Macaca fascicularis: one gene and its partners. The protein of the gene in region 3 purifies or fractionates together with the protein of the main gene of each other region. This does not show direct contact. Links are inferred from orthologs where the notes say so. Each region holds a gene or a part of one and is shown on either strand. Other genes may lie near its edges.

What was found.
Region 1: the proteins of protein argonaute-1 (region 3) and TNRC6A purify together in Homo sapiens (affinity purification with mass spectrometry; 10 studies listed by BioGRID and IntAct, with this or other methods). This does not show direct contact. The link is inferred for Macaca fascicularis from reciprocal best matches to the Homo sapiens genes AGO1 and TNRC6A.
Region 2: the proteins of protein argonaute-1 (region 3) and TNRC6C purify together in Homo sapiens (affinity purification with mass spectrometry; 5 studies listed by BioGRID and IntAct, with this or other methods). This does not show direct contact. The link is inferred for Macaca fascicularis from reciprocal best matches to the Homo sapiens genes AGO1 and TNRC6C.
Region 4: the proteins of protein argonaute-1 (region 3) and STUB1 purify together in Homo sapiens (affinity purification with mass spectrometry; 3 studies listed by BioGRID and IntAct, with this or other methods). This does not show direct contact. The link is inferred for Macaca fascicularis from reciprocal best matches to the Homo sapiens genes AGO1 and STUB1.
Region 5: the proteins of protein argonaute-1 (region 3) and HSP90AB1 purify together in Homo sapiens (co-immunoprecipitation; 4 studies listed by BioGRID and IntAct, with this or other methods). This does not show direct contact. The link is inferred for Macaca fascicularis from reciprocal best matches to the Homo sapiens genes AGO1 and HSP90AB1.
Region 6: the proteins of protein argonaute-1 (region 3) and TARBP2 purify together in Homo sapiens (co-immunoprecipitation; 4 studies listed by BioGRID and IntAct, with this or other methods). This does not show direct contact. The link is inferred for Macaca fascicularis from reciprocal best matches to the Homo sapiens genes AGO1 and TARBP2.

The regions. Positions count from the first base shown.
Region 1 is NC_088394.1:23,826,906-23,832,511, reverse strand, and holds the start of TNRC6A (trinucleotide repeat-containing gene 6A protein), read right to left. Parts: upstream 3,268-5,606; 5' UTR 2,108-3,267; coding exon 1,957-2,107; intron 1-1,956.
Region 2 is NC_088390.1:84,529,160-84,533,981, reverse strand, and holds part of TNRC6C (trinucleotide repeat-containing gene 6C protein), read right to left. Parts: intron 3,657-4,822; coding exon 3,586-3,656; intron 2,716-3,585; coding exon 2,576-2,715; intron 1,649-2,575; coding exon 1,288-1,648; 3' UTR 1-1,287. UniProt on the Homo sapiens protein: Plays a role in RNA-mediated gene silencing by micro-RNAs (miRNAs). Required for miRNA-dependent translational repression of complementary mRNAs by argonaute family proteins.
Region 3 is NC_088375.1:199,021,356-199,026,177, forward strand, and holds part of protein argonaute-1, read right to left. Parts: intron 3,678-4,822; coding exon 3,543-3,677; intron 2,949-3,542; coding exon 2,847-2,948; intron 1,909-2,846; coding exon 1,709-1,908; intron 1,467-1,708; coding exon 1,358-1,466; 3' UTR 1-1,357.
Region 4 is NC_088394.1:1,433,560-1,439,125, forward strand, and holds STUB1 (E3 ubiquitin-protein ligase CHIP), read left to right. Parts: upstream 1-2,189; 5' UTR 2,190-2,311; coding exon 2,312-2,470; intron 2,471-2,814; exon of another isoform or gene 2,815-2,956; coding exon 2,957-3,155; intron 3,156-3,242; coding exon 3,243-3,408; intron 3,409-3,461; exon of another isoform or gene 3,462-3,600; coding exon 3,601-3,688; exon of another isoform or gene 3,689-3,827; coding exon 3,828-3,884; exon of another isoform or gene 3,885-3,971; coding exon 3,972-4,295; 3' UTR 4,296-4,555; downstream 4,556-5,566. UniProt on the Homo sapiens protein: E3 ubiquitin-protein ligase which targets misfolded chaperone substrates towards proteasomal degradation.
Region 5 is NC_088378.1:127,266,562-127,270,350, forward strand, and holds part of HSP90AB1 (heat shock protein HSP 90-beta), read right to left. Parts: intron 3,761-3,789; coding exon 3,614-3,760; intron 3,002-3,613; coding exon 2,795-3,001; intron 2,692-2,794; coding exon 2,532-2,691; intron 2,350-2,531; coding exon 2,216-2,349; intron 2,083-2,215; coding exon 1,774-2,082; intron 1,327-1,773; coding exon 1,161-1,326; intron 958-1,160; coding exon 767-957; intron 645-766; coding exon 497-644; intron 382-496; coding exon 113-381; intron 1-112. UniProt on the Homo sapiens protein: Molecular chaperone that promotes the maturation, structural maintenance and proper regulation of specific target proteins involved for instance in cell cycle control and signal transduction. Undergoes a functional cycle linked to its ATPase activity.
Region 6 is NC_088385.1:60,310,512-60,315,951, forward strand, and holds the start of TARBP2 (RISC-loading complex subunit TARBP2), read left to right. Parts: upstream 1-2,240; 5' UTR 2,241-2,475; coding exon 2,476-2,528; intron 2,529-2,652; exon of another isoform or gene 2,653-2,775; intron 2,776-3,080; coding exon 3,081-3,250; intron 3,251-4,075; coding exon 4,076-4,178; exon of another isoform or gene 4,179-4,261; intron 4,262-4,743; coding exon 4,744-4,839; intron 4,840-5,433; coding exon 5,434-5,440. UniProt on the Homo sapiens protein: Required for formation of the RNA induced silencing complex (RISC). Component of the RISC loading complex (RLC), also known as the micro-RNA (miRNA) loading complex (miRLC), which is composed of DICER1, AGO2 and TARBP2.

The DNA of each region.
Region 1 (5,606 bases), on a different chromosome or scaffold from region 3:
GAATCTACATAAAGTATACCCAAGCATCCTTTTCAATAAACCTCTTAAGTTTCTTAGAAGCTCTTTTCATTGGGCAAATGGCCTTTCACACCATGGAACAAGAGTCTGATAAGCCTTTACCCCTTTACCTTTACTCAGACTTACAGAGGACACAACTTTCTCATAAGAAATCCCGAGCAATGACCAACCAGACTGCAAAGACTGTCCTACATAAACAGCCTCTGACAGACGCCCAAGGCATCGGTCAATGCCAAACCATGAGAAGCCTACCAAAACCCTAACCATTTCATATACCTATGCATCCCTTCCCAGGCACCCCTAAGAGCAACCAAAAGGCAGGTGTCTAGGGCCACATCATCTCCTCTCATCTCATACTTAATTCTCCTTCCTAATACTTGCTGATGACACCCCTAGGCTCAGGACATGTAGAAATGAATTATTTATCATTTCCCCTTTCCTTGTATCCCCCAGCCTGATTAACTCCTCTCAAATGTAGTCACTCATCTGGAACCTGCGAATCAATGTAAGTTGACTCTCCCTCTATATCCTTTAAACAAAGTCTGGGGGTTACTTTAATAGTCCCTTCACCAGTATTTCACACTCTGGTATCTACCCCTTCTAATCCAATTCCACAATTTTCCAAGGTAAACATACTAAAATACAAATTTTTATGTCACTCTACTAAAACATTTTCAGCATTTTCCCCGAAGCCCTGAGAAAACCTCCTAGCCTTTCCTAGCTCAACTCTTCAGAGTTCTACCCTCAGTTCCCTCCCTTTCCCCCAAGCAAAACCCATCCTTTAACACATACAGGCTACCATGTATTTCTGAGTTTTCACTGTTTGGAATCCTTTTCTATTCTGCTCCTTATTCACCTAATTTCAACTCTAAGGAAACTTCTCTGTTCCTCTGCCCCATCTCAGCCTGAGTTATGCACCTCTCTCTCTGTACTGCAACAGTTCCCCATAAATGCCTCACCTGCCACTTTTATAGCCTGTGTTTTCCCCTATTAAATAATGTGGACATAAGTATCTTGCTAGAGTCTACATTCAATTCCTAGCACAATGCCTGGCTCAAAAGAGGCATATATAAGAAATCAAAATAATTTTTCATTAGAATAGAGAATTGAAACAGTAATTTCACTAGGTCTTTTAGAACATTTTAATGTCTTGAAACCTTGACATAGTAGGAGATGAGTGTCCATTTAGTTAACTATTATCAGCTTTTAGTATTAACAATTTGGAAAATTTTTAATAATTACAGATTAAAAAAAATTTTTTAACTTACTTTGCATTTAGTTATAGTTTCCTATACTACATTAGCTAGTAAACAATAATGCCCTTGCAGTAAACAATGTCCTAGGTTTATTTTAAGGTTAATGTACACTGCAAACTTTAAAAATCAGCCCAGGTACTAAATAAAGGGGGAAAAAGAAACTGACACTTTACTTCCTATTATGTCTATTATGTTTTCCTTTAATACTCTATTTCTATATTACATATAATAACACTTAATTCAACCCTCATTTAACAAAACACAAGGAAACTAAGGCCCAGAGAGGCTAAATAAAATTTAAGGTCACACCATTCTATGTGCTATGTGGGAGAGTGAGATTTCAAATCCTCTCAACTTGGCTACAAATTCCATGCTCTTCCCACTTATAAAATGATATTATTATGAAACACCTAGGAATAGCTATTTGAAAGATAAAGATCTATAAAACGTACTTACGTACTTACCTTTGAAAAACTATTGGCAAGATTAATAACTATGCATTAAATTGTACAAACTCAGCAAGTTACTTTGTATGCATATTCAAAGACATTAAATATTAAAATGAATCTCCATTAAAACTAAAACATTAAATCAAATAAATGCCTTAAAAATCTGTAAGAGTAATTTTCTTTTTAATTCTATGTTTAAACTGCTTAATATAAATAGTTTATACACATACTACCTTCTTTTGAGCAGCTTCCTTCTTTTTCTTGTCGTCTTTTTTCTTTTTCTTTTCTTCCATCAACTGTTCTTCTTCTTGCACTAAATCCCTGAACCACACAGTTGCAATTAACTTTCCCAAAATGTATTGAGAGATAAAAATAATGTTGCATACAGGTTCATTTTCACTTTTTCACTCTTATTAGAAGACATGGCAAATTATTATTTTATCATTCACTGAAAACACAACTTGCAACCTAACCCTAACTATATAGCCACTATATGGTACAATTCACTTTAATAAGCCACAAGTAGTACAACTTTTATCTCAATATCATATCAAGGAAGACAACCTAAAATTAGCAAATTTTACATTGGGAAACAAGCAATTTCCTCCAATCCTAGAATGTAAACTTCATTTAAGCTGGAGTTACCTTGCTACTGGCCCCAAGTATCAATTAGTAGCTAATGGCAACGCCTGAGACCTCCTCACAATCCCCTCTCACCTAGGTTTCTGGAAGCTACCTTTAGTTTTCCTTGCCCTAAATAGCTTTGTAAATATTTTTAGAACATAACTTAATAATCTTAATAATAAATAGGTGACTTGTATTTCAGCATTACAACAATTTCATATTCCACAAACATTACAAAGTATTCTATCAATTCTTAGGAAACAATAATGTACTCTTGTTTGTTTTGAGACGGAGTCTTGCTCTGTCACCCAGGCTGTAATGCAGTGGCGTGATCTCTGTTCACTGCAGCCTCCGTCTCCCGAGTTCAAGCGATTCTCCTGCCTCAGCCTCCCAAGTAGCTGGGACTTTACAGGCGCCTGCCACCATGCCTGGCTAATTTTTGTATTTTTAGTACAGACAGGGTTTCATCAAGTTGGCCAGGCTGGTCTCAAACTCCTGACCTCAAGTGATTCGCCCACCTCGGCCTCCCAAAGTGTTGGGATTACAAGTGTGAGCCACCGCGCCTGACCTATTAATGTATTCTTCATATTAGTTTGTTTAAATTTTTAAAATCTCAAACAGTTAAAGTTGTCAACAGAACTTCTGGTTCAGGATTTCAAAGTGACAGACTGGGCAAATGTGTTTCAGGAGACAGGTTATTACCTTTCAGGGGAAAAGGTTATTACTTTTTTATTCTATTCAAAGCTGATAAGCAAAAGCAAAAGCCACCCCACCCAAGAATAAACACAAGAGCAGTCTGAAATGGATGTTTTAGGTACCATCCTTTCTGGTGGAGCTCTAGAGAGGTTCCAGAAGATCAGAGCAAGCAAGCATGAGGCAAAAAGACTGTCTAAGGAATAGAAAAGCCATAGCTACTCAACCCCTCCCACCCACTTTCCATTCAGATGCCTACACGGCCAACAGGTAGTAGCTGCTTCTAAATGCAGCCTAAAGCCAAATAAATACTCTCTAAAGAAACAAAACCTTCCACAGGAGTCTGTTAGGTGCTTGGATGGGTTTGGTTGCCCCAGAATAAAGCCCATCTTATTGGAGGCTGCTGCCACTCCCTCCATCACAGAGTAAAGTAAAGCCTGCCAATCAACACCCTTCACACAGATCAGCCTTCCCATTCACGGAAGGAGTCGACTGGGCAAAGAAACCTTTGCAAAGGTGGAAGAAATTCACTCCAGCTACCTATAGTCATCACCCTAAAGTCTAGACCCTAAACCTTCACTCATAATATCAACAACCAAAATCACCAGTCACCCAAAGAAAAGCATCACACAAAATGAAAATACCTAACTCTGCCCTGAGGAAGTTTTCCAGAGAGGACACTAAGAATATCAGGCAGACAAGGAGAGGTTTGGAGATATGAACTAGACATTTGGGAAGCTGCACATTATTTATCCAGGCTGGAATGCATATGGCAGTAGGGATGTCAAAGAAGATAAAAGGAGAAAGATAGGCAAGTGTCTAAGAAACTGGAAGGGGTTGCTACGGGTGCACTGCAATGAGATTAAACAAAATTTAAGTTGGCTTTGCTGATGGAACGGACTGAAAAGAGATGCAGACACTGAAAAATGAAATGAATGACATTATGCACAATTGATAAAAACTTAGTAAAGTACAGGACTACTAAAATCAGCTAAAAGGATAACTGGAAGAAGAGTATGATAACTGTTGCTATATTTCGCTGTCATTTTGTTACAAGCAGACTGTCATGTGGCTAATGGAGTAACATAACAGATTCCTGCCAACTGTGGCCGTGACTCACTCTCTTTTGAATTCCGTGTGCAGGAGGTAGTAAGACTGAACAAGCTCAGTCACATTACAAACCCAGGGAAGGCAAGGAGCAAGACAGTCACAGCATATGAGAGCAGCAGAGTAAAATCAGTAAACAACGGCAACTAGATTACACCACTGTCATGTTACCTACCCCGAGACACGCAGAAGTCAAGATTAAAAGCTGATTACTAGCTCAAAATACTTAATCTTCTTCAGTCTCTTGTTTCTTCATGAAAAAACTGGGGACAAATGACCATACATGTCAATGTCTTAGTATTTTTATAAGAATTAGGACTGCTTACTTAGCACAAAGCTTATCTAGTAAGCACTCAATTGCCTAGTCATGAACCCAACTCACCAGTCCTCAGTGGCACCCAAAAGGTTGTCTTTACCCTACTTGTGTCAAAATATCACAGGTACTTGGGTACTTATTCAGAAACATCTAGCATCGCCGGGTGCGGTGGCTCAAGCCTGTAATCCCAGCACTTTGGGAGGCCGAGACGGGCGGATCACGAGTTCAGGAGATCGAGACCATCCTGGCTAACACGGTGAAACCCCGTCTCTACTAAAATACAAAAAAAAATTAGCCGGGCGAGGTGGCGGGCGCCTGTACTCCCAGCTACTCGGGAGGCTGAGGCAGGAGAATGGCGTGAACCTGGGAGGCGGGGCTTGCAGTGAGCTGAGATCCGGCCACTGCACTCCAGCCTGGGCAACAGAGCTAGACTCCGTCTCAAAAAAAAAAAAAAAAAAGAAACATCTAGCATCTGCAGCATTTGTTCTTCATGTTCTGCTGTGAATTACAGACATGTCCTTTTCTGATCTTTTTTGTCACTATAATTTTACTCCATCTATTGGTCTCTATCCGGAGTATTTTGTCCTTTCTCAAACTTCATTTTCAAGACTTTCTGATGAGGTTACTAGCAAGTGTTTTCCTGGCCAAAAATATCCCCCTTAGTACTTAAAAGATGTACCACACATTTCTTCTCGAGGAAATATCACAATATCAGATACTGTAAGCACAGAGGGGAGTAAGTTCTGTTCTTCAACACCATCATCACAGCCAACCAGTCATACCTTTTCCCATATCTCCTCCTTCAGAAAGCCAACTGAAAAAAAAAAAAACAAAAAACAAAAAAAACAAAACTTGTGCCCAAACACGTCAGCTTCCAGGAGTTAAATGTTCATAGAGACTCAATTAAGACATCTGACTATATCATTTACCACAACTATCAAGAGGAGTAAGGGCTGATGGATCTGAAAGGCCTAAGTGGGCCACTCTGTTTGATGCACCTGCCACCAAGACAACACTCCAATTAGCAATCATTCATGCCCTGAAGGCTACTTTGCAGGATACCTCACATCTGTAAGTTCTATGTATCTACCTCGTCTGTAAAAACCAGACTCCCCTTTTATCAGAACTTATGTCCTGCATCTC
Region 2 (4,822 bases), on a different chromosome or scaffold from region 3:
TGCTTGTTTCTGTTCCTTCCACGGAACCATCCATTCTTTACAAGTATCTATGGCCACAGTTCAACAACAGTTTTTTTTTTCTCTTTAACTTTATATTCCAAATGGAAAAATGGTGCAATACTCTGGTAATAATTTTCTTGCATTAGTCCACAATAAAAAGCTGCTAAAGGTAGGTATACATATTATTTCTCCAGAGATATACACTGTACTTTTTAAACGCAGTCACAGAGTCCTTGAGTAAACATTTACACATGAATTGTCGCCAGCCCTGTCCTAGGAATTCTCTGTAATGTATAGGATTAGCTAAAGGAAGGGCGAGGACACTCAGTGCAAAGTTAGAAGCTAATAATAACAAACGTTTGACCAATGCGCCAAAAAAAAAAGCATATACTGAATACAAGGGAAAACCCACAGTTAAATCCTCACACGCTTTCAAACACACAAACACAGAAAATGCACGCTGTGCAGGAGCACGCGCCACACACGCACACACACACACTTCTGTTTCAACACGCACACACTCACACACATGGAGGCTATGAACTTAGAAATTTTCCCTAGAGCCTGTTTCTGTGTACTGATGTCAGCCTGGAAGTGTAGAGTTAGAAAGTGTTCACATTTCACTATTGGCCTGCTGGATTCAAGTATTTGCATGTTTGATATGTCTTTTTTTAACTTTTAAAAAATATTTTTTGGGATAAAAAAATGACATGAAAAAGTAATGAAACAAGGGTAATGTGCATAGGCGGATCCAGGGGAACAGAGAGCAGATCGCAGCCCACGCCTTCCGCTCAGCTCCTACCGTGGAGCCGCTCTGCGCCCGGCGGTCCACACCAGACTCTGCCCTGATTACCGGCCGCCTCTGGTAATGTGCATAATCGTCACAGGCTCATTTTAAATAGGCTTCACGTCTCCCTCCCTCCCCCACAGATAAAATAACCCTTTCCAGCCCACAATCTGAAAAGTGCCCTTCATGATAGAACTATTCTAAGCAGCTTTTATACTTTAAAAAAAAAAAATCAAAATGACAACACACTATACAAACATAAGACACACAAAATAAAAAGCTACGAGGAACATCCTGTCATTAGCATGTGACGCTGACCCACCGCAGCCCGCACTGTTTTGCGAACAGTTCGCAAGGACTGTGGCCAAGGTTCGTCTTCAGTCCTGGACAGAGGTACTCAAAAGGGTGGCCGCTGCTGGGTTCCAGCGGGTCTGTGGGGCCGCCCATCTGGGAGGGGTCCCGGGAGGGGTCGGCTCTCCTGGTGCTGATGATGGCAGCTCCTACAGGGACTCCCCGCTGAGCAGGTCCCCAGGCAGCAGGGTGGTCAGAGGGGTGGGGCTGCCGATCACCCTGCTATCGTCAGCGCTGGGCGGGCCCCACAGGCTGCTGGAGTACTGGGGCACCCCGCCCCACAGCAGCTCACTGCTCCCCTTGCCACCCAGGCATGGGGCATTCCAGTGGCCAGCGTCGCTGCGCACCAGGCCATGGGAGCTGCCCGCTGCGCTGAGCCGCGGCTGGCTGGACGCGCTACTGGACTGCCAGCTGGAGGTGGGTGGCAGCGCCTGGCCTTGGGCTAAGAAGCGATTCACTTCTTCTTCGCCAGCGAACTCAGCCAGGATGGTAGTGTTTCCCAGGACGCACCTGCAACAGCAAGATGGGGCACGTGAGCAGGGCCACCCCAAGTCCTGCTAAGTTCGTGGCACCGGCTTTCTGTCTTCGTATTGGGAAAGGCTACCTGGAAGCCATCGTGTGGCTTCTGTTTTGCCACTGCTATTTCCAAACCCAGACTGTGAAGGTTTTGCTCAGTTCAGACTTCTAGCAGCAACACCGTACTGGTACAGAGAGTACATCTTCAAGTGCATGAACACACCATTAAATGTGGGCTCATTTAGGGTCACTGTCATTTGCATCCTGGGCTAAAAACAGGAATGACTAATTTCTAGGTTCCATGTCTCAAGTGATGTTACTGATCAGGTCTACTTATACTTCTATCAAAAGCAACCTTTCGTCAGGGTGAAGGGTTGGCTGTGAGGACCGCTGCTGGGCCCTGTGTAGGAATGTGTCACAGGCAGAGGGGAGTAGACACAGCAACTCAGCAGCAGAAAAAAACAATAAGTCTCAAGATACCTGTGAAGAACTGACCTGTGTCGCCTTCCCCCAATTCTTTTGCTGAAGTCCTAACCCCCAGTACCTCCCCATGTAACTGTGTTTGGAGATGGAGTCTTTAAAGAGGTAATTAAGTTAGTTAGATGAGGTCACATGGGTGGGCCCTAGTCCAACATGACTGGTGTCCTTATATCAGGGCACCAACATGCACAAAGAGACGACCATGTAAGAACAGAGGGAGAGGGCAGCTGTCTATAGCCAAGGAGAGAGGCCTCAGGAGAAACCAGCCCTGCCCACACCTTCATCTTGGGTGTCAAGACCTCCGGCCTCCAGAAGCGGGAGGGTGGCCAGCCTGTGGGATGCTGCTATGGCGGCTCAGGACCCCCCTGCAACACCCCTAACCTAATGCTCTGGGGGATGTGGAGCTACTTGGAGCGCTGAGGTGGCTGTGAGGAAACATACATGTGCAGAGACTTCTGGGCCTTGGCAGCCTCCTCCTTGGAGCTATACCGGACCACGGCATTGCCTTGAGTCAGATTCAGGTGGAATGTGATGAGAGGCCCATGTTGCAAACACAATGTCCGCAGTGTAGAACCATCAATCTGACAGAGGAAGCACAGGGGCATGAATGAGCTTTCTTCTGATTTCTTTCACTACAGCCTTCCAAAGAAAAAACATGAAACTGGATACACTAAACACTAGGAAAATGTTTTTCTTTAAAAGGCTTTAATAATATGTGATTTTACAATGTTCACATTCTGTATCTCTGTGGCCAAACGTGTAACTAAAATCTTGGATGTTTCAGTTATATTTTATGAGTTAGGCTAATCAGAGGAAGGAGAAAAACCCCACTTTGAGTTCAGCTCTCCTTTCACCAGAGCACATCACACAGAGCCCCTGGTTTGCAAAAGGCACCTGGGTCTAGCTGCTGACAACAGACTTGGGAGATGTGTAGGTGGGTGTGGCCTGGGTCCCAAGAAGGGACTGGCTAGCCCCACAGTCTGACGTGGCCAAACCACTCTTTTAAAAAATGTTATAAAAATACACACATGGGGTCTTGCTATGTTGCCCAGCCTGGTCTCCAAATCTTGGGCTCAGGTGATCCCTGGCCTCGACCTCCCAAAGTGCTGGGATTACAGGCGTGAGCTACTGCAACCGGCCAGGCCCAACCACTCTTGAATGGGTAGTTGTAAGATAAACAATTCTATTTACAGAGCACACTTTTCCAGCCTCTAGTGGGTAAACAAACAATTCACCAAGAACATGGTTAAAAGAGACCCCTGGACCCCATCTGCTGCTGCTGCTGGAGCCAAGCCTGGCACTTGCTCATCTCCTCCCGTGCAGCATCACCTCTGGACCCTGACCAAGAACCCCCGACTATCCCGCCCCACCAGACAGCCTCATCTGCATCGGGGGCCAAGAGGGAACCCTCCTTGGATCATGCTCAGCGACACAGGGGCACCGTACTGCACCTGGGGAGTGAGGTTTCGAAGAACGAGCCAGCTGCTGGTTCTTCCTGAGGCGTCGGTGCTCCAGGCAGAACCTGCAACAAGAGGGGAGAACCCGGTTGACAAGGCCCCGGTGCCAGTGGATAGTGCGGCCTCCCCACCTCTTACCGTGCTGAAGTGTGGGACAGCACGGGCCATCACGGACCATCACCACATGATCTAGGACAGCCTTTCTCAGCCTGGGAGGTCCATACTTTCTTTCGTAAACCAAAACCTCACAGTTCCTGCAGACCCCCTTCCCACTTCCCCGTGGTGACTCTGACTTCTTGGATCTTCCCGCCAGCCCCGGAGACCCGTGTTTTCCCATCTGTGCCAGGAGAGACGGGGGTGAGAGGCCTGACAATCTCCAGGAAAGCTCTGGTCTCCACCTCTGCCTGCCCCCAGACCTGGTGTGGAATCAGTGCTCCCAGGTTCTTCTGGTTAATACAACAGAGCAAATCCCTAAAGACTGCTGCTAAAAGGCAGAAACTATTACTTTCAAACTATCTGATATGGTCTGGCTGTGTCCCCATTCAAATCTCATCTTGAATCGTAACTCCCATGATTCCCATGTTTTGTGGGAGGAACGTGGTAGGAGGTAATTGAATCATGGGGGCACGTCTTTCCTGTGCTGTTCTCGTGATAGTCTCACAAGATCTGACGGTTTAAACAACTGGAGTTTCTCTGTACAAGCTCTCTTGTCTGCCACCATGTGAGATGTGCCTTTCACCTTCTGCCATGACTATGAGGCCTCCCCAGCCACGTGGAGTTGTAAGTCCAATAAACCTCTTTCTTTTGTAAATTGCCTCATCTTGGGTATGTCTTTACCAGCAGCATGAAAATGGACTAATAAAGTAAACTGGTACCAGTAGAGTGGGGTGCTGCTGAAAAGATACCTGAAAATGTGGAAGCAACTTTGGAACTGGGTAACAGGCAGAGGTTGGAACTCAAGGCTCAGAAAAAGATGGGAAAATGTGGGACAGTTTGGAACTTCCTAGAGACTTGTGAAATGGCTTTGACAAAAAAGCTGACAGGGATATGCAGAACAGGCAGAGGTGCTGCACATCAATTCCTATGGAATCATTATTCACTGGTCCCCCAAGGGGATGTTTAGCTTGAACTGCACCTCTCAGTCTGTGTGCCTTGGCCACACTATGTTCAGCTGATCTGAACAAAATGGTCAGAGGGTAGAAATAAGAAGTATGGCAAAAGTTCCCATTAT
Region 3 (4,822 bases):
CACAGTTCATTCTGATGGCTCAATGTTTCCGGGATACAAACTCATCAGGCATGGGAAGGATTTCCAAATTTTGGCAATACACTCAAGTTATGGTATAAAAATAACATTTTGTTTTCTCTCTTTTTTCTCATTTTAGACCTAAGAGTTTTTTGTTATAAGACACCCCAGTTAAGAAATATTGAAACACAAGAGACTTGACCATCAAGGGAGAAAAGAAGCCAAGAGTGAAAAATGCTATGAAAGTAACTCCAGACCTGGGTGGGGTGGGAGGTAGGAGGAACAAGGAGAAAAGGAGGCATAAGTGGAAAGGCCAGGGGCCAGTCATCTCAGCAGCTCCGAGACTTGTCATGTTTGAAAGTGCAAATGTCAATGGATTTTAACCATCTTGAGGTTGTGATCTTTTAAAAAGCTCAATGAATGAGGAAGTCAATTCCTTCAAATGCAAAATAGCTGGCTTTCTGGCTGGAGGTTTGTTGGGTCTGGGGTATTTCTTCCCCATCTACCTCCTCTCCCACCCCCACCCCATTCCCCAAAGAAAGGTACAAAAGGTTGCAGTTCTGCAGCATTACCGTTACAGGGAAGGCACTGGTTACCCACCAGCGGGCGGAAGGAAGACAGGGTCGTGTCACTTCAAAGCTAAGTGCCATAGTGCCTTAAGTATTACTAGGGGCTGGATGTCTGTCAGGGAGGAGAAGTAAGGTGGGGCAGAAAATGTGGACAGAGAGGAATAAGGGGAAGGGGGGGGTGGCAGCTGGGGGAGGAGCAACCAAAACCATTAAAAAATCTTCCTACAAACTGGATTCTGAACCCATTAAAACATCTAGTATCCTAAAATATTGATCTGGGTCTGGTTTCATTTTTCTTCTTAAACAAATCTAGTCCTTTTCTGATTAAGGCTCCTAAAAAATCCTTCCCTCCTCCCACCCACTTTCTCAAGCCCCTCACTTTCCCATCTAAAGTATCAAACCCAAACCTAACCAGCTTTTGTCTGCAGGGCTACAGAGTTGACCTTACCAAGCTGTCAAGCATGAGTCTTTAGCACTGTGAGTCACATGAGACACCTGTGTGTATGGTGGGCACCAGTGCTGCCCCTTTTGGTCCATTGGGGTCAGGGCCAGATGTGACAAGATGGGGTGAGGGGTGGGGGACATGAGGTTGATATCAGAGATTTCTGGCTGGTGGTCTGTCTTGCTGGCCCTGTTCCCCACTCTTACACCACCTCTACAGAAGGAAACAAGGCGTCCTACACTCCTCCCTACCCCACCTCCCTCCTCCTTGCTTCCTCTGGATTTGGGTGGCACAGCTCCTGGGGCTTGGAAAGCTTTCTTCTATCCAGTGAGGTAACAGCGTTCTGCCTTCAAGCGAAGTACATGGTGCGCAGAGTATCCTGATGAACCTGCACGGCTTTGGCCAGGGCCTGGGGGTCCCGCCCATTGCTTTGCCCCGATATGTGGCTCCCCTCTCCACTGAAAAGGAAAAGATGAAAGAAGTCCTTCCTGGTGAACTGAGCTGCTGCTAATTCCCTCACCCAGCCCTGGGATGCCAATTCCCATACCAACTTAAGAGAAAACCCCAACCCAGGATTGGGCAGAGAAGCCCAATGACACCAAATTGGACAGCACTCCTTTCCTTCTACCCAAGGAAAGTTGAGAAGATCTGGCACAACAGGCTGAAGCAAAAAGGAGGCCAACCTGATCCCAGGTCTCACCTGTCATGCTCCTTGTCCACCAGGTGGTATCGTGCCCGGAAAGCCACCAGGCGGGCATAGTAGGCAGGTGCTGGGATAGAGACAGAGCGTGTGCATCGTACGTAAGTGTGGCACAGCTGGTATGTCAGGATCTGGAGCTCATCCGCTGTGAAACGGTTGTCATCCCAAAGAACATAGTAATGGGATGGTCGGCTGGTGCCCTGGGAAGATAGGAAGATGAGGGTCCCAGGCTGAGCAGAGGAGATGGCTGATAATAGGGGAACAGGATCACTATTAAGAATACGGCTGGGTAGATAATTCACCCATGAACAGGCGGATGCAAAACTACCAATGTCATAAAGCACTCTTCTTAAAGGTAACCTGCAAGTGTACTCAGGGCTTATTAAGAGAGCAGTCCTGGCCGGGAACAATGGCTCATGCCTGTAATCCCAGCACTTTGGGAGGCCAAGGTGGGTGGATCACTTGAGGTCAGGAGTTCAAGACCAGCGGGGCCAAAATGGTGAAACCTTGTCTCTACTAAAAATACAAAAATTAGGCCGGGCGCAGTGGCTCACGCCTGTAATCCCAGCACTTTGGGAGGCCGAGGCGGGCGGATCACGAGATCAGGAGATCGAGACCATCCTGGCTAACACGGTGAAACCCTATCTCTACTAAAACTACAAAAAATATTAGCCGGGCGTGGTGGCGGGCGCCTGTAGTCCCAGCTACTCAGGAGGCTGAGGCAGGAGAATGGCGTGAACCTGGGAGGCAGAGCTTGCAGTGAGCCGAGATCGCGCCACTGCACTCCAGCCTGGGCGACAGAGCGAGACTCTTGTCTCAAAAAAAAAAAAAAAAAATTAGCTGGGCATGGTAGCGCATGCTTGTAATCCCAGTTACTCGGGAGGCTGAGGCAGGAAGGCAGGAGGACCGCTTAAACCCAGGAGGCAGAGTTTGCAGTTAGCTGAGAGTGTGCCACTGTACTCCAGCCTGGGGGACAGAACAAGACTCCACCTCAAAACAAAATAAAACAAAACAAAACAAAACAAAACAAATGAACATAATTTGGATGTCATTCAGTGATGACTGATATATTGTAGAGGCAATGTGAATAAACAATTCATCTTTGACCCATTGGAACCCCAAGATATAGCCCAGCTACCTGGATGCCTGCATGGCTGCACAGATAGAAGTCAAACTCAAATGGGTGGGTGATGTTGGTGTCCACTGTGGTCCCAGCTGGGATGTTACCACTCTTCCCAATCTGTATAGAGACAAACACAACCAAGATCCCAAGACCTGCCTGGCCCTAACTAGGACCCTGGCTCAATTCTACTCTGACTTCACCAAAATCCCAAGAACAAAGCCAAAGTTGCTATTCCCAGAGGGTACTGAATCTTTAAATAATATGCTTCTAAAGTCACACAGACCTATGTTCAAGTCCTATTAGCTGTATGATCTTAGCAAGTCATTTAACCTTTCTGAGATTAAACTGGAGATAATAATAATACCTACCTCACAGGGTTGCTGTGAGGAAGACGCCTTGTACAGTATCTGGCACATAGGAGGAGTTCAATAAATGGTAGTTCCCTTTCCCTTCTCTGGGAGCTGGTCTATATATGGGGTCTAGGCCAGGGAGCTAGGAGGAGGGAAAGGAAGTATAAGGGAAAGAGGGGAGGAGGTGGACACTAGTGAAGGCAGTGGTAGAGGAAGGACCACAAGAGCTAAGAGGAGGGAAGGGGCCAGGGAGGATGAACAGGACAAGGACTAAATCCCCAGCCTTTATCTGAAGGGCTTCTTCTCTATTAAGATAAGGGAGACAGAAGGAGGGGACGGGAGGTCTCAGTCCCTCACTCACTCGCTCGTTCTTGTCAGCACAGAAAAGGCGGGTGTGATGGCGTTTCTGCACCACAATATAAGTGATCCCAGGCTGGTAGTCCTTTTCCAGTTTGATGCAGGCATCACGAATGGCCAGTAGCTCATAGTGGAGTATCTAGGCACAAAATGGAGAGGGAAACAAAGAAACACACAGTTCCTCTTGAGTTCACATACCCTTCTGAACTAAGGAATTGCCACTTGTAATATAGCTTTTTGCTCAGTCTCCCTTTATATGCTGATGCTCAACAATTAGAGATGATAGGCCCTTCTTGTCAAAAGCAGCCTTATACTCAGTTCACTTAATATGTTCCTATAAAACCTTGGCCAGGAGCCTTGGCATCAGAAGACAACAAACATCTGGTTCTTGTGTATAAAGAGACCTAATATCAAGACACAGAACCAAGGTTCACAGAGAAATCACTAAAATTACAATGCCCAAAGTTAGTTTCACTCAGGATCAGGCAGCTAATGAGAGTTCTCTTTTGGGCTCCAAGAGCAGACAGGTTGTGGACCACCAGAGAAGAGCAGACATATAGCTCCATAATGGGTGCAGAGAGAGTAGGTGAATTCAGTCCTACAAAGCAAGCAGGATTATTAGAAAATGGGCTAGCTAAAGGAAAAGCTAGAAGTAAATAATCATAGGCAATAGTTTCCTATGGCCATGGATGTCAGATATAGAGGGTCAAAACTGTATGGTACAGAACGATAGACTTTGGAATCAATTAGACGTAAATTTAAGCTTTAACTAGTTGTATTACATTGGGCAAGTTATTAAACTCCACTAAGTCTCATTTTCTCCACATCTGTTAATGTTACTAAGACCTGCTTCACAAAGCTGTTATGAAGACTAAGATAGACAATTAAGTAAAAGCACAGAAAACCTAGTAGGGCTTAATAACTGCTGATTGCTTTACTAAGCAGTTTGAATTTTAACCCAAAGCTATGTGAAGCCACTAGACATTTCTGAACAGATATGTGATATGATAAATGTGTCTGATATTTTAGAAAATACTGGATGACTTAGAAATTGGGCATAATGGCCAGGCACCGTGGCTCACGCCTGTATTTCCAGCACTTTGGGAGGCCAAGGCGGGTGGATCATTTGAGGTCAGGAGTTTGAGACCAGCCTGGCCAACATGGTGAAACTCCAGCTCTACTAAAAATACAAAAATAAGCTGGATGTGATGACTCATAGCTGTAGCCCCAGCTACTTGGGAGGCTGAGAAAAGAGAATCACTTCAGCCTAGGAGGCAGAGGCTG
Region 4 (5,566 bases), on a different chromosome or scaffold from region 3:
ACCTGAGGCTGCAGAGGCCAGGGCTCGGCATATGGTGGCCGCCCACCAGGGGCCTTCACGTCTGCCCTTTGTGAACGGACATCTCAGGGCTGCTGCGCCCCTCGGGTGTGGGTGGCCTCAGAGGAGACCCTGTCCCAGCCACCCCCCTGCCCCCAGGACTTGCGGTCTGAGCCTTTTTGGATAATTAATAAATATTTTACACAGCACCAGGGGGCTGTCCCGGGCTTTGGAGACTTGTCAGGACCCCCACACCTGCTGAACAGACCATGAGGGCCCTCCCCACCACTAGGGCCTGGACTTCCCTCCTTGTGCACGTCTGCACCTGAGGTCAGGTGTGGGAGGTGTTTCCGGGCCATGGGTGCTGTGTCTATGGGAGTTGGAGGCACCCAGGAGGGCTGGGGGCCGGGTGTGCGGTCAGACTGGGTGTGTAATCACGCATGAGTCTGGGAAGTGTTTATTGAGCTCCCATAGTGGCTGACCTACTCTTCAGCCTCCCTGCCATCCAGTGAGACCCGGAGGCCTAAGGTTGTGTAGCAGGTGAGCAGGCCTGGACTATAGCCAAGTTCACTCGGCCTGGGTCCCATGCTTCTTGGCTGGCCTAGTGTCCACGTGGGTGGCCAGGCTGGGGCCAAGGTTGGGCAGCAGGTCTGGGCACAGCCTTTGCCCCACGGCCCAGGTCCACAGTGCTGTCTCCACTAGGTGGGGAGCACACAGACTCAGGCCCAGGGGCACGGGCCACCCCAGCCTGCCCACACACAGTTCGTTCACCTTGGCTCAGAGCTGTGGCCCACTCTTGAACCTGGCCCAGGTACAGCAGGTAGTACCTGAGGGTGTACTGTGGGGCCGGCAGGCCGGGCACTGTGACCACTGCCTCATCTGACATGAAGGCCTCCATCTCGAGCTCCAGGCACCAGGACTGCTGTGAGCAGCGAGGAGAAGCAGCCAGACACCCCATCAGGACAAGCTCTGGCTCCGACTCCTGGTCCTAGAGACACACAAGGGCCCAGACTGTCTGCTTCACAGACAAGGACGCTTATGTACCCAAGTCGTGCCCACCCAACTCACCTGAGGCTGTGACTGTGGTGGGTCCACACCGCAGAGGGCAGACAGCTGGGTGACCGCGGCCCCCACATCTGGCAGGAGGCAGAAGGTGGTGGTCGAACAGTGCACAGCCAGCTCAGGGGGATTGGTGGTCACCAGATGCTGTGAGAAGCCAGGTCAGGGTGCCCGGCGTGGTGGACCCACAGGGAGGCCCCGCCCCCACGAAGACCCGCTCTGGAGGCCCCGCCCCGCCGATGCCACGCCCCGATGAAGACCCGCCCTACGGAGGCCCCGCCCTCGAGGCGGGCCGCACCTCGCCGCCAGCTTCCAGGCCAGCAGCCGCTCCAGCTCCCTGTCACATGCTCTCCGCTCTGCCCCTGATGGCCGCTGGCAACTCCTCCCGATACCTGGGGAAGGGCGGTGAGGGGAGGTCCGGCCACAGGGTACGCTCGCCCACCGATCCCTTTATCCCCTTCCACTCTACCAACGGCCCAGGGCTTCCAGCCGCACTCGGGGGTCCGCGCGCACCCGTAGGACCTCTCGATGGCGCTCCGGAATGGCGGCCCAGCGACTGCGGTCCTTACACCCAACAGCGCGGGAAGCCACTATGTTCACGCGGAGGGGCGGGGCCGGCTGCCGGGGGCGGGGCCGGCTGCTGGGGGCGGGGCTTCTGCGTAGGGGCTGGCTGCTGGGGGCGGGGCCTCTGGGTGGGGCGGCCTGTTGGGGGCGGGGCGTCTGCCGATGGGGCGGGCTGCTGGGGGCGGGGCTGGCTGCCGGGGGAAGGGCCTCTGGATGGGGCCCGCTGCTTGGGGAGGGGTCTCTGCGCGTTGCGGCGGGGGCGGAACGCCAGGTGGTCGGGACAGGCTGTTGGGGGAGTGCGCCCTCAGCGAACCAAGGCATCTCACTGGGAAAGTCGAATGTGTGTGGCGGTCGCCGCCGAGGCCGGTTCCGAAGAGGCCTCAGCAGGGCGGGCCAGGGCCTCCGCGAACGCCGACCCTTAAGAGCGCCGAGCGAGGGAACCGGAGTGTTCCTCCCAGCCCCCGACGCCGCGGGCCTAGCGTCCCCGTCCAGGCTGATTGGGCGCACGCGCGGCCCCACTCGCCCCCACCCGTGCGTCCCCGCTGGTCCCGCCCCCGGCCGGAAGTTCCGGCGGTGGAGCTGGGCCGGGCCCGAGAGGATCGCGGGTTCGGGCTGCGGGGCTCGGGCTGCAGGCGCTGGGCCGCCAGGCGCGGAGCTTGGGAGCGCAGCCCAGGCCGTGCCGCGCGGCGCCATGAAGGGCAAGGAGGAGAAGGAGGGCGGCGCGCGGCTGGGCGCTGGCGGCGGAAGCCCCGAGAAGAGCCCGAGTGCGCAGGAGCTCAAGGAGCAGGGCAACCGTCTGTTCGTGGGCCGAAAGTACCCGGAGGCGGCGGCCTGCTACGGCCGCGCGATCGTGAGTGCGCTCGCGCGGGAAGGGCGGCGGCGGCGGCGGCGGCGGCGGCGGCGGCGCCGGGGAGGGCCGGGCCCGTGCCCGGCTGGCCCCACCGAGGGTCTGGTTCCTCTGCGGGGCATGTCCTGGGCTCCTAAAGCCCAGCCGTGGTTCCCGAGCCCAGCGCCGGGTGTCGGAGAACGAGGGTGGGATGCTGGATGGAGGCCGGCCGGGTCGGGGGGAGGGCAGGGGCCCTCGCCCCTTGAGGCTCCCAGGTCCAAAGCCTGGACTCTCCAAAGATTTGGAAAACTTTACAAAACCAAGTGGAGTCAAGCGGATAGGCTCAGCCAGTACTCCACTGTCTGCAGATCCTTGGATCCAGGGGCTTTGACGACTGAGAAGCCTAGTTTCTTGATTCTAGCCAGAGCGCAGAAGCTGGGACGGGCCGTGGGACAGAGGGGGCGCGCTGAGCCTACACCCTCATGCGGCTGGCCCGGCCTTGGTCCCTAGACCCGGAACCCGCTGGTGGCCGTATATTACACCAACCGTGCCCTGTGCTACCTGAAGATGCAGCAGCACGAGCAGGCCCTGGCCGACTGCCGGCGCGCCCTGGAACTGGACGGGCAGTCTGTGAAGGCGCACTTCTTCCTGGGGCAGTGCCAGCTGGAGATGGAGAGCTATGATGAGGCCATCGCCAATCTGCAGCGAGGTTGGCTGACAAGCTGCCCGGTTGTGGGGCCCCTGGGGCCAGGCGGGTGGACTGGCCAGAGAGTGACCTGAAGCCCCCGTTCCCCAGCTTACAGCCTGGCCAAGGAGCAGCGGCTGAACTTCGGGGACGACATCCCCAGCGCTCTTCGAATCGCGAAGAAGAAGCGCTGGAATAGCATCGAGGAGCGGCGCATCCACCAGGAGAGCGAGCTGCACTCCTACCTCTCCAGGCTCATTGCCGCGGAGCGTGAGAGGTGGGACCCTCACCCCAGGTCGCCCTGTCTTGGGGTAATTCTGAATCACCAACTACCAACATGAGCGTTTATTGAAGGTTTTACTGGCGAGCAGAAAACGTGGGGAAGAAGCATGAATGTTAGCCCTGAGGTTGGGGTGTGGTCAGACATCTGGCCAGGTCCATCTCTTACTGGCTCCTGGTCAACCCCCAGGGAGCTGGAAGAGTGCCAGCGGAACCACGAGGGTGATGAGGACGACAGCCACGTCCGGGCCCAGCAGGCCTGCATTGAGGCTAAGCATGTGAGGGTGCCCCCCTCCCACATGTGGGTCTGTGTGTGTGCACCTGGCGTGGGAGCATCCCCGCCTTGTGTTGGGTCTGTGCCCCATGGAGGAGGGAGGTGGGGTGTCCCGCACAAGTGCAGTGCTCAACTCTTCACAGGACAAGTACATGGCAGACATGGACGAGCTCTTCTCTCAGGTGGACGAGAAGAGGAAGGTGAGTGTCTGTCACTTGCTGCGGTGGGTGGCAGGTGCTGGAGCAGTGCCCCTTCCCAGCCTCTGATCGTGTGCCCCTGTGCCACAGAAGCGTGACATCCCCGACTACCTGTGTGGTAAGATCAGCTTTGAGCTGATGCGGGAGCCGTGCATCACGCCCAGTGGCATCACCTACGACCGCAAGGACATCGAGGAGCACCTGCAGGTGAGGCTGCGGCTGGGGGAGCAGGGCCAGCAGCATGGTCCTGGGCCCACTGACTGCCCTCTGCCCTTCTTGTCACTGCAGCGCGTGGGTCATTTTGACCCCGTGACCCGGAGCCCCCTGACCCAGGAACAGCTCATCCCCAACCTGGCCATGAAGGAAGTCATTGACGCATTCATCTCTGAGAATGGCTGGGTGGAGGACTACTGAGATGCCTTGCCCTGCCCAGCATCCTGGTCCAGGAGAGCCCTGGGCGGAAGCCCTCCACCCCTGTACATAGTTTGTGTTGCTGGCCACCCTGGCCCCTTCCAAGTTCAAGTTCTGCTGTTGGGCTCTGGACTATTCCCCCTCTCAGCATAGCTCTTGCTGGGCCATGATTGTCCCCCTTTGTGGGCTGGAAAAGCAGGTGAGGGTGGGCTGGGCTGAAGCCACTGCCGACACTGTCTGTGTAATAAAATCCATGAGCACGAGATGGGACGTGCTGGTGTGTGGCAGGCATGCCTGCCAGCTGCTTTGGCTAGCCGAGGAAGGTGGAGATGAAGACGCTGGTGTCAAGGTTGAGTGTGGCATGCCACCAGCGGTCAGGGAAGTACAGCACCTGGTGGAGAAAAGGGGTGCAGCACAGATTAGCTGGGGGCCTCTGGCCTGGCCTGGCCCTCTCCTGCCAGCCACTGACCTCACCAGCCCGGATGGTACACTCCAGGGGCCGTGCAGACGGTGGCAGGGCTGGATATGTGTCCCGGAGCCAGGCCAGCGTGGTCTTGTTGGGGTGGAACTCTGGTGTCTTCTCAGGTGGGTAGAGGAACCAGCGCTGGGGGCAGGAGCAGCAGCGTCACCCTTGCCTGTTTTGGTCACCGAGCCCCAAGGCTCAACCCCAACCCTGTGCTGACCTTACGGCCGTAGATCACCTCCGAGTACCCGGGCCCATGCCAGTGGAAGGGCACCCCCGAGCCAGCTCCTGTGGGGTTATGAGCACCTGGTGACCAAGCCATTTTGTACCCACCCTCAGAAGCCTCACTCCTCCCCAGTCCTGAGCAGCGTTCACCTGCGATTCCAAAGCTGTAAGCTGGAGCGGTTCCCAGCAGGCCAAATGGGGGTGGGGAGTAGTGCCGAAAGAGAGAGGCCCACTCGGTGAAGTTGTTGTCCCCGAAGAAGTACAGGGTGTCTGCCAGTAGAGACGGTGGGGGCAGGGATCCTGGCACCTGGAAACTCCAGGCGTCCCCACCCCCTACCGCCACCTAGGGCTGACTCACCATTGCCCAGGGAGGTGGGGTCCTGGGGGTGCAGCAGCTGCTCCACATACTCCTGGAACGGCAAGTCCACTGCAGGAGAGAGCCGGGTCAGGACCGGCTGGTCCAGCCGTCCCGGTGCTGGCACACGGGCGGGCGCAGGGGCGGAGCCGCTCACCTTTCTGGTAGGAGTAGGTGTTGGCGGTGCTCAAGCGGACCACTCTGTCCCCAAACGAGGCCAGCAGCCTTTCG
Region 5 (3,789 bases), on a different chromosome or scaffold from region 3:
TCCAAACAGTAAATAGGGTGCCTCAAGCCACTAATTGTGTAAAAACATGATTGTGAGGGAGCCCACCTCAAAGGTATGTTACAAAATATATCCTAGCTCCAGAATGGCTTACCTTCTCAACCTTCTTATCTAAGATTTCTTTCATGAGCTTGCAAAGGTTCTCAAACTTTGCCTTGCTCTCTTCCATCTTCTTCTTCTCCTCCTCATCCTCAGGCAGCTCCAGACCCTCCTTGGTAACTGAGACCAGGCTCTTCCCATCAAACTCCTTGAGCTGCTGCACACAGTACTCGTCAATGGGCTCGGTCATATATACCACCTCGAAGCCCCGTTTCCGCACTCGCTCCACAAAAGCTGAGTTGGCCACCTGCTCTTTGCTCTCACCTGTAGGGTAATTAAATGGACTCAGTGACTAAAATGCCTCATACTGCCAGTTCCTAGGTAGCCCTGAAATGTGCTCCCCACTCCTCCAAAAAGGCTTCCATCAGAACCAACGCACCAGTGATGTAATAGATGGACTTCTGTGTCTCCTTCATGCGAGAAACATACTCTGACAGAGATGTCATCTCATCTCCAGACTGGGAGGTGTGATAGCGCAGCAGCTCAGACAGGCGGCGGCGGTTAGTGGAGTCCTCGTGGATTCCAAGCTTGAAGGGTGGGAAGAGAAAAAACAATCCAACTTAACTACAATTCACTTTCTATGTGAATGGAAAAATTTGTTAGTAATTACTAAGAAAGTGGTAAAGGGAATAAGCATTTGCTTCTTTACCTTGAGATTTTTAGAGAATGCCTCATAGAATTTCTTGTAATTCTCCTTGTCTTCTGCCAGCTCAGAGAAGAGCTCAAGACACTTCTTAACAATGTTTTTACGAATGACTTTCAAGATTTTGCTCTGCTGGAGCATTTCTCGGGAGATGTTCAGGGGCAGATCCTCAGAGTCAACCACACCACGAATAAAATCTGCCATCAACCAGGATAAGAAAGCTCAGTAAAAATAGCTAGACCAGAGCTGGTACCCAGATTCAAACAGAAGGCTCTAATAGCCTCCTGAACCCTTATACTTACTATGCATTGCAGAAAATCCTTAACCTAGGATATTCTGGCAGAATGCCGAAAACCTCCCAAGACTTCACCCAACTAAATTAGGCCAAGGAGATACTCACTGAGATACTCTGGTATTAACTCATCACAGCTGTCCATGATGAACACACGACGGACATAGAGTTTGATGTTGTTCTTTTTCTTCTTGTTCTCAAAAAGGTCAAAGGGAGCCCGACGAGGAATGAATAGCAATGCCCTGAATTCCAACTGACCTTCTACAGAAAAGTGCTGAAAAAAAACAAAAAATAAGCAAGTGATACATTTCAAAAGAGGGCCTTTTAGCCCCAACACCAAATTACCTAAAAATGGAATAATGATCCTCCCCATAAGCCTAACGGATAGAGCGCACACACAGGCAGTTCCCGAGAAAACTGAGCCTTAATGCCCTCAACGATCTAGACGAATACTAGCTGTATATAGAAAACAGTCCGCTCTGATCAGAACTCTGGATGTGTAAGGCTGCCAATAGACATTACCCAGATTTCCTTTAGAGAAAGTGAGGTCATTAGGAAGGATGGCACTTCACTATGACCGGGTAATCAGTAAGTGAAAATACATAGCTCTCACATTTCTGTTATCAGCTGGACACGTTCCATGTGTCTATTACCTGCCAACACTCTTCCACTTATTCCTCTCCATATTTGCATGTTGACCCAACATGCAAAGGCTTCTCACCTTGACTGCCAAGTGGTCTTCCCAGTCATTGGTGAGGCTCTTATAGAATTCTCCATACTCCTCTTGGGTGATGTCATCAGGGTTTCTGGTCCAAATAGGCTTGGTCTTGTTTAGCTCTTCCTGATCAATGTATTTCTCTTTGATCTTCTTAGTTTTCTTCTTCTTATCCTTACCACTGTCATCCTCCTCATCTGAACCCACATCTTCGATCTTGGGCTTTTCTTCATCATCTTTATCTTCCTCTTCTTTCTCACCTTTCTCTTCCTCTGCCTCATCATCACTAATTTCCTTCTCTCGCTCCTTCTCCAACTAAGTAAGAAAAACAGAAATTAGCCTTGGAGTACAAAACACCAGGAAAAGCAGAAGCCAGGGACCACGAGATTCTCCAGAACAGGAAACATCCTGCACGCTAAGTGTAAAAGGTTTAAAAGTCCATACTCACATAAAGGGTGATGGGATAGCCTATGAACTGAGAGTGCTTCTTCACTACTTCTTTGACCCGCCTCTCTTCCAAGTACTCTGTCTGATCTTCTTTAAGATGGAGGATCACTTTGGTACCTCTGCCAATGGGCTCACCTAGAAGAGTCAATCATAAGCGTGTAACAGGGCGAAAGTATATGCAGTTGAGACTTACCAAATTAATAAAGTATTAGCGGAACTGCTATGAAGAACTGCTTGACAGGATGCTCAAAATTTCTGCTACTGGTGAGCCCACAAAACTCTAACCCAGCTACCTTGTAACAGAAAAGCTAACTTACCATGGTCAGCCCGCACAGTGAAGGAACCTCCAGCAGAAGACTCCCAAGCATACTGTTCATCATCGTTGTGCTTTGTGATCACAACCACTTTCTCTGCCACCAGGTAGGCAGAATAAAAGCCAACACCAAACTGTCCAATCATGGAGATGTCTGCACCAGCCTGCCAACAAGTTTTTGTAAAGTCAAACACAAAATTTAAAGCAGCAAAAAAAATAAAGAACACTGATGAATATGAATGGTGTATGCCTACAGAACTGCAGTACCTGAAGAGCCTCCATGAATGCTTTAGTACCAGACTTGGCAATGGTTCCCAAATTATTTATGAGATCAGCTTTGGTCATCCCAATGCCTGTGTCTACCAAAGTCAGGGTACGTTCCTGAGGGTTGGGGATGATGTCAATTTTCAGCTCTTTACCACTGTCCAACTTCGAAGGGTCTGTTAAGCTCTCATAGCGAATCTTGTCCAAGGCCTGAAACGAATACAAACAGCAACTTACTTTTGCTCTCTCCGAGACAGGCAATTGCTCTGTTGCCCAAGCTACAGTGCAGTAGTAGCAAGGATGACAGCTCACTGCAGCCTTGACCTCCCTGGTTCAAGCCATCCTCCACCCCAGCCTCCCAAGTAGCTGGGACTACAGGCACATGCCACTGTGCTCAACTAATATTTAATTTTTTGCAGAGACAAGGTCTGGCTGTTGCCCAGGTTGCCCTCGAAATCCTAGGCTCAAGTGATCCTCCTGCCTTGGCGTTACAGGTGTGAGTCAACACGCTCGGTCACTTTTGCTTTCTTAAAGCCCGTGTCTTCAAAGAAAATCTTGGTTTACCTCTCTCAGCCTCAAATCTGATTGCCCCTTATCTTGAGGCTTTAGAACTACAGTTAGTTACATGAGCCCACTTTTTCTGGACATAGTCACTTCCCTTTCAAGTTCAAGATGGCCAGAGAGTAAGACAAATCTTTTTGGAATAGTTGCAACTTTACCCCCTTCAATAGTAATCCCCAACAAAGGCCAAACCACTCCTTTCCTCTCTACGAAGAGTGTCAAAAAAATAAACACACCAAATATAGAAACCACAGCACTTACATCAGAAGCATTAGAGATCAACTCCCGAAGGAAAATCTCCTTGTTGGAATAGAAGGTATTGATGATGAGAGACATGAGTTGGGCAATTTCTGCCTGAAAGGCAAAAGTCTCCACCTCCTCCTCTCCATGGTGCACTTCCTCAGGCATCTAAAATAAAAATGATCATTAATTACAAA
Region 6 (5,440 bases), on a different chromosome or scaffold from region 3:
CTCTCTGACTAATCTTCAGGTCCAGCCTGCTAAGTGTGTGTGTGTGTGTGTGTGTCTGTGTGTGTGTGGAGGGAGATGTGGGTACATCAGTCCTTGCCCTTCCTTTCCTTCCCTGGAGGGGGCCAAAACTCTCCCTCCTCCTTCCCTCTCTCCCTTCCTGAGGATGAGTGGGAGGAGATGTTCTCTTGCCCTCTGTCCTTTAAGTCTGTCCCCCAATCACCCTCCACCCCACCCCAATACGGTCCTTTCCAGCTCTGGAGGCCCTTCGTCTCCAAGCTGGGCCGCGGCATCTCTCCGCTCCATTCCCTTCCTTCCCAGCCCCACACGCGTCGGGTCCAGGTCCCCAGTTCCTCCATCCCCACAGCTTCAGCATCCCCACACCACCACCCGCACCAGGCCACATCTGCATCCCGACCCTCCCTCCACGCCCGGATCCCAGGACCCGGACCCATCCCTGCCCCCCACCCCCCCACAACTCGGCCAGGCTCTCACCTCGGGGGCTCCGCGGCCGCAGCACAAAAGGCGGCGCTGCTGCAGCTCCGCTCCGGATGCTGCTCCCGCCTCCTCCTCCTTCTCCTCCTCCTTCCCTCCTCCCCCCGCTGCCCTCCACCGGACCCGGGGCGCTGTCACAGGCGATGCTCGTGCGGTGTCCGGATGCACGGGTGTCAGCTTCAGCTTGCTGCCCCCACCCCCCGACCCCTAGCCCCGTCCCTGCTCGGCTTGAACTCCCGCTCCTTCCAGGGCCCCCGCCCCTGGCCCCCCGGGACGGACACGCCCTGAGCGGGGGATGCTGCGATGGAGCCGCCGGCCTCTTAAAGGAGCCCGCTGCTGCCATCCGGCGCGCTCCACTCTCGTCCCTGGCCCGCCTGGGCCCCGCGCTTCCCTGCTGGCGGTGTCCTATGGAGGTCCCACCTCAGGCCTTAGGCTGATTCCACAGGAACCCCCTATGACTCGTCTTATAGACTCCTTTCTACATCGGAGAGAGCAGCCCCTCAGTTGGGATCCCTAGCGCTCTGGCATTGCTCCCCCTATCATACTGATCTTGCCAGCTCTCCTTCCCTTGATTGTCACCGCTCACTCTAATTTCACCCACTTGGAATTCACTCGACTCTAGGCCCCATCCTCCTCCAGTGTTCCTGGATGACCCCTCATTATCATTTAAAGATTCCTCTGGACCTCCAGCCCCGCCTCAGAGTAAGACATCTCTTTCTTGACCCCTTCTCAGAACACTCATTAGAACCTTTATTTATTTATTTATTTTTTAAAAATGTGATATCTCCCTTTCTCCAAGGTCACAAGATTTCCCTTAGCCCAGTGGTTGTGCGACTTTGGGGGAGGAGGCAATGGGGCTCTAGGACTAAAAAATTTGCGTCTGCTCAACACCCAGATCAGTTGATTAGTCTTAGGCGGCCAAAATTCACTCTTGCTTTCTTCAGCTGAGAGACCCAAGACTCATGGCAGAGGGAACGAGACCACCAGGTGCCTAGTCCTTCTAATCCTGTCGCCCCACACCACAGCCTGATTATCAGGCCCCAGAGATTTCCTTGCCAGTTAGAGAGGTTCACTAGAGCCGTTCTAAAAAGGTTTTACAAAAGAAGCAAAACCTGAAGGAGGTGAAGGACAACCTAGGAAGAGGAAGCAAGTTCTGTGTCACGGAGGCCCAAGGGCCAGGGGCTTAGGCTGTGGGTTGAGGGGACTGTCTGAGACTGACTTGGATCTGCACCAGCTCCAGAGCCCTGCGTAGACAGACATCGGTCCCCTCCGGCGTCTAGGTAAAGCCCACCCTCTCAGACCTCAAAGAGCCCGGATCCGACAGCAACCTCTCCGGACCAATCACAACCTTCCTTCACCAAGGAGGCGGGGTCAGGGGGCTGATTTTTCCTTGTCCCCGCCCCTTTGGTCGAAGTAACCAATTCCAATGTGCCTAGAGGAAGTAAACGCAATGGGAGTAACCAATGACAACATGAAGCTTCTCGTGCGTGCTTGACCCTGCCCCTCCAGCTGCGGCAAAGATGGCGCGCGGGCTCCTGGGTTCTGTAGTTTTCTCGGGATCCAAAAGGCTCCGTGCCCAAGTGAGTCCTTACCGCCCCGCTACCCAGCGGCTTCCCCTCCGCTAGTACGCATGTCCACAGCCTCACGGCCCGGGAGAGAGGGGGCGCGGAAGGAAGGAGGCGGGACGGTATTACAAACAAAAAAATACAGCCTTCTCGAGAAGCGACTGCGGAGAGCCCGCTCCTCCCAGAAGGCGGTGCAGCCGGCCCGGGCGAGCCACGCGGAGGGTTGTGGGGCGGATAGCTCCCCTCCAGATGGAGGCTCATGAAGTAGGGTGGGCGGGGGACTCCATATCCCAGCGTGCCCCTCGGCGGGCCCTACCGGCCGCGACTCCGGGCTTGGCCCCGGCCCTAGCTCGTCGGCGGTGTATTGGGGCGCGTGGAGGCTGCACTCACGGTGGCGCCCGCGGGGACGGAGGAGGGAATGAGTGAAGAGGAGCAAGGCTCCGGCATTACCACGGGCTGCGGGCTGCCTAGGTGAGCCGCCTCGTACCGATTCCTTCTGGGCAAAAAGCGTGGGGCCGTGCGGAGGGAGTAGCGGCGCGGCCCCAGCATGCACCTGGCCTGAGGGTTGTTCCCGGCAAGCACTGGGGCAGTGGGCAGTGGTTCCCGGCGTGCACCGGGGCAGTGGCTGCTGCCTTCAGCTCTAAATAGTTTGGGGTTGGCCCGGTTCCCAGACTGCACTGGAACACTGGGCTTTATGCCCCCACATTCAGTGCATTTGGTGGGTACTGGGTTCCTGGCTTGCACTGTGTCAGGGGGTATGCACTTTCAACCTGCATGGGGCACAGGATCGTGCCCACCTTAACTGAGGCAGGAGCAGTGCATTCTTCCCCCCTTGCTTTGAGGTAGTGGGCCCTACTCTTCCAGCCTGCACCTACACTTGGAACCCAGCCAATGGATGCTAGACTGCCTGGGGTTCCTTGGACCCTATGTCCCCCATAATGTGCCTAGGTCTGGTATGGAAGTGCTTGGCCAGGTGGGTGCAGAGAGGGGAGGTGTGATATGGGTCTGTGCCCCTTCCCCCAGTATAGAGCAAATGCTGGCCGCCAACCCAGGCAAGACCCCGATCAGCCTTCTGCAGGAGTATGGGACCAGAATAGGGAAGACGCCTGTGTACGACCTTCTCAAAGCCGAGGGCCAAGCCCACCAGCCTAATTTCACCTTCCGGGTCACCGTTGGCGACACCAGCTGCACTGGTGAGGAAGGCTTGGGCAGCCTGGCTGGGGTGTGCATTTGCAGGTCCCCATGACTTTGTTTCTTGGAGTCTCTTTCTTCACAGTCCTTTTCTTCAAGGCCAGTGAGGGAAGGAGAGATTTCAGGGGAAAAGCTACTGACTGGATTGGGAGAACAGGGCTGTGAGAAGGTGGGTAGGACGTGGGAGAGTTAGAGGATCGATCAGGACTGCCACATCACCCTAGAGGAAAAGGAAGAGAAGATAACTGAAATCCCAGTGGAGTATTTGGGGGAGTGAGTGCCTGGCATGCTGGGCTCTGTTCCCGGTGCTTAACCAAATTCCCATTTAATTTTAAACCTCAGTCTAACCAGTGATGTAGGTGGCAGTATCCCCCCCCCACTCCTCCCCCCGCCCGCCCATGTTGAATATGAGGAAACTGAGTATTTGAGATAGTAAATGGCTGGTGCATGGTCACATGCCTAGTGTGTGGCGGAGTGGGGCTTTTACTCCAGAGCCTACCCTCTCTTATTCCAGCTCTCTGTTTTTATTGAGGGAAAAGAAAGTGCTTTGCAAAGGAAATTAAAGCATTTGAGTTCAGAAGTCCACCCAAGGCGTTTGAGCTCAGAAGTCCTGCTTGGCATGGCTTAATTCTGGTCTGGAAGCTAATGGAAAGATAAGGGCTCTTCCTTCTAGCAATTAGTGAAACACTTCCAGTCTTCAGCAGGGGGTGGTTGGTCAGAAGGGGCTTGATGGATTCCCACTGGCTCTGAGGAGAGAGGCTGTGGGATGCTGGTTTCTCTCCCATCCTTCCAGTGACCTCCAGTATTGCCCATGCCCCCTCTCTCAGGTCAGGGCCCCAGCAAGAAGGCAGCCAAGCACAAGGCAGCTGAGGTGGCCCTCAAACACCTCAAAGGGGGGAGCATGCTGGAGCCGGCCTTGGAGGACAGCAGGTGAGGGAGGAACCGAGGCATCCCAGAAGCCCTTCAAGGAACCCAGGCCCTGCACCACCCCCTCTGCCACCAGGCCTGGCCAGGTGACACTTAGCCACCCTGACCTGGCCTCTTCCTGAGAGTCCCTCTGGACCTGAACAGGGTCTTCCAGGGCGTTTGCTGCTATGAAGAATTCTTGGGGTGGAGGGGTTGGTTAGCCCCATAGAGGGGTTGTGGCAGTAGATTGGGACCTGGGTTAGGGAGGGAGAGGGGTGGAGGCTGAGGCTAAAGGGAGTTGCTCCCCAACATACCTCCTTGTTCTAGCAAGATGTCCTTCCTTCACGCGCAGGTTGGAGTTTGTTGCTCCTCTGGTTCTTTGGTACAAAGAGACCCTCTTTTCTGTCTTTTTGCCGGTGTTTGGCGGCAAAGGATCCCAGGAGGAAGCTGTTGGTTGAGCCTCCCTGATTCTTTGGCTCAATTTGGAAGTTCTCTTAGGGGATCGGGAGGTCAGGAGGACGTGGGTCCCCCACCCCTCTCTTCCCCCTATACATGGGTGTGAATCAAAGGCCCCCTTCCCCTCGGGAAGTTCTTTTTCTCCCCTAGACTCTTCACTGCCTGAGGACATTCCGATTTTTACTGCTGCAGCAGCTGCTACCCCAGTTCCATCTGTTGTCCTAACCAGGTATCTGTGTTCCCTGACTGCCTGAGGTGGGTGGAGGAAGGGGTTCTGGTTTTTGGCTCCTCAGTCTTTGGACCCAGGCTGGTCAGGCATGAGGAAGTCTGAGAATAAACAGAATGGAATAGTTGGGAACCAGAACTTGAAGAAATCACAGCAGCTGGGGTAAGCTCTTGGGACAGAAGGTCATTTGTGATTTTCAGATAGCCTTATGGATGATGTTCGACCATATTTAAGGGTCTCGCAGGCCCCATTTTCTTCTGGGTTGACCACATGTCAGTTCTGTGTTTGAGGCCCATCAGGCACTTCTGGGACTGGAAATACAGCTCTTCTCCCACTGTCCTGGCTTGGATGATACACAAGTGTTCCAGATTGGAAATGGGCTGGGGCCTGGAGAAGGCCTCCCTTGAGTGGGAGGGGGAAGGAAGCCGGCTAGAGCAGGAGGGAGCAGGCTCGATGTGTGAACAGACAGCTGCCTGCCCGGTGGGAATCAGGAGATGGTAGTCAGGAATCTAAAGTAGTGGTTAGGCTTGGAGCTCATGGGCAGGCTCAGATGGAACCCTTCACCTCAACTTTGGCCCTGTGCCCTTTTTCCTTCAGGAGCCCC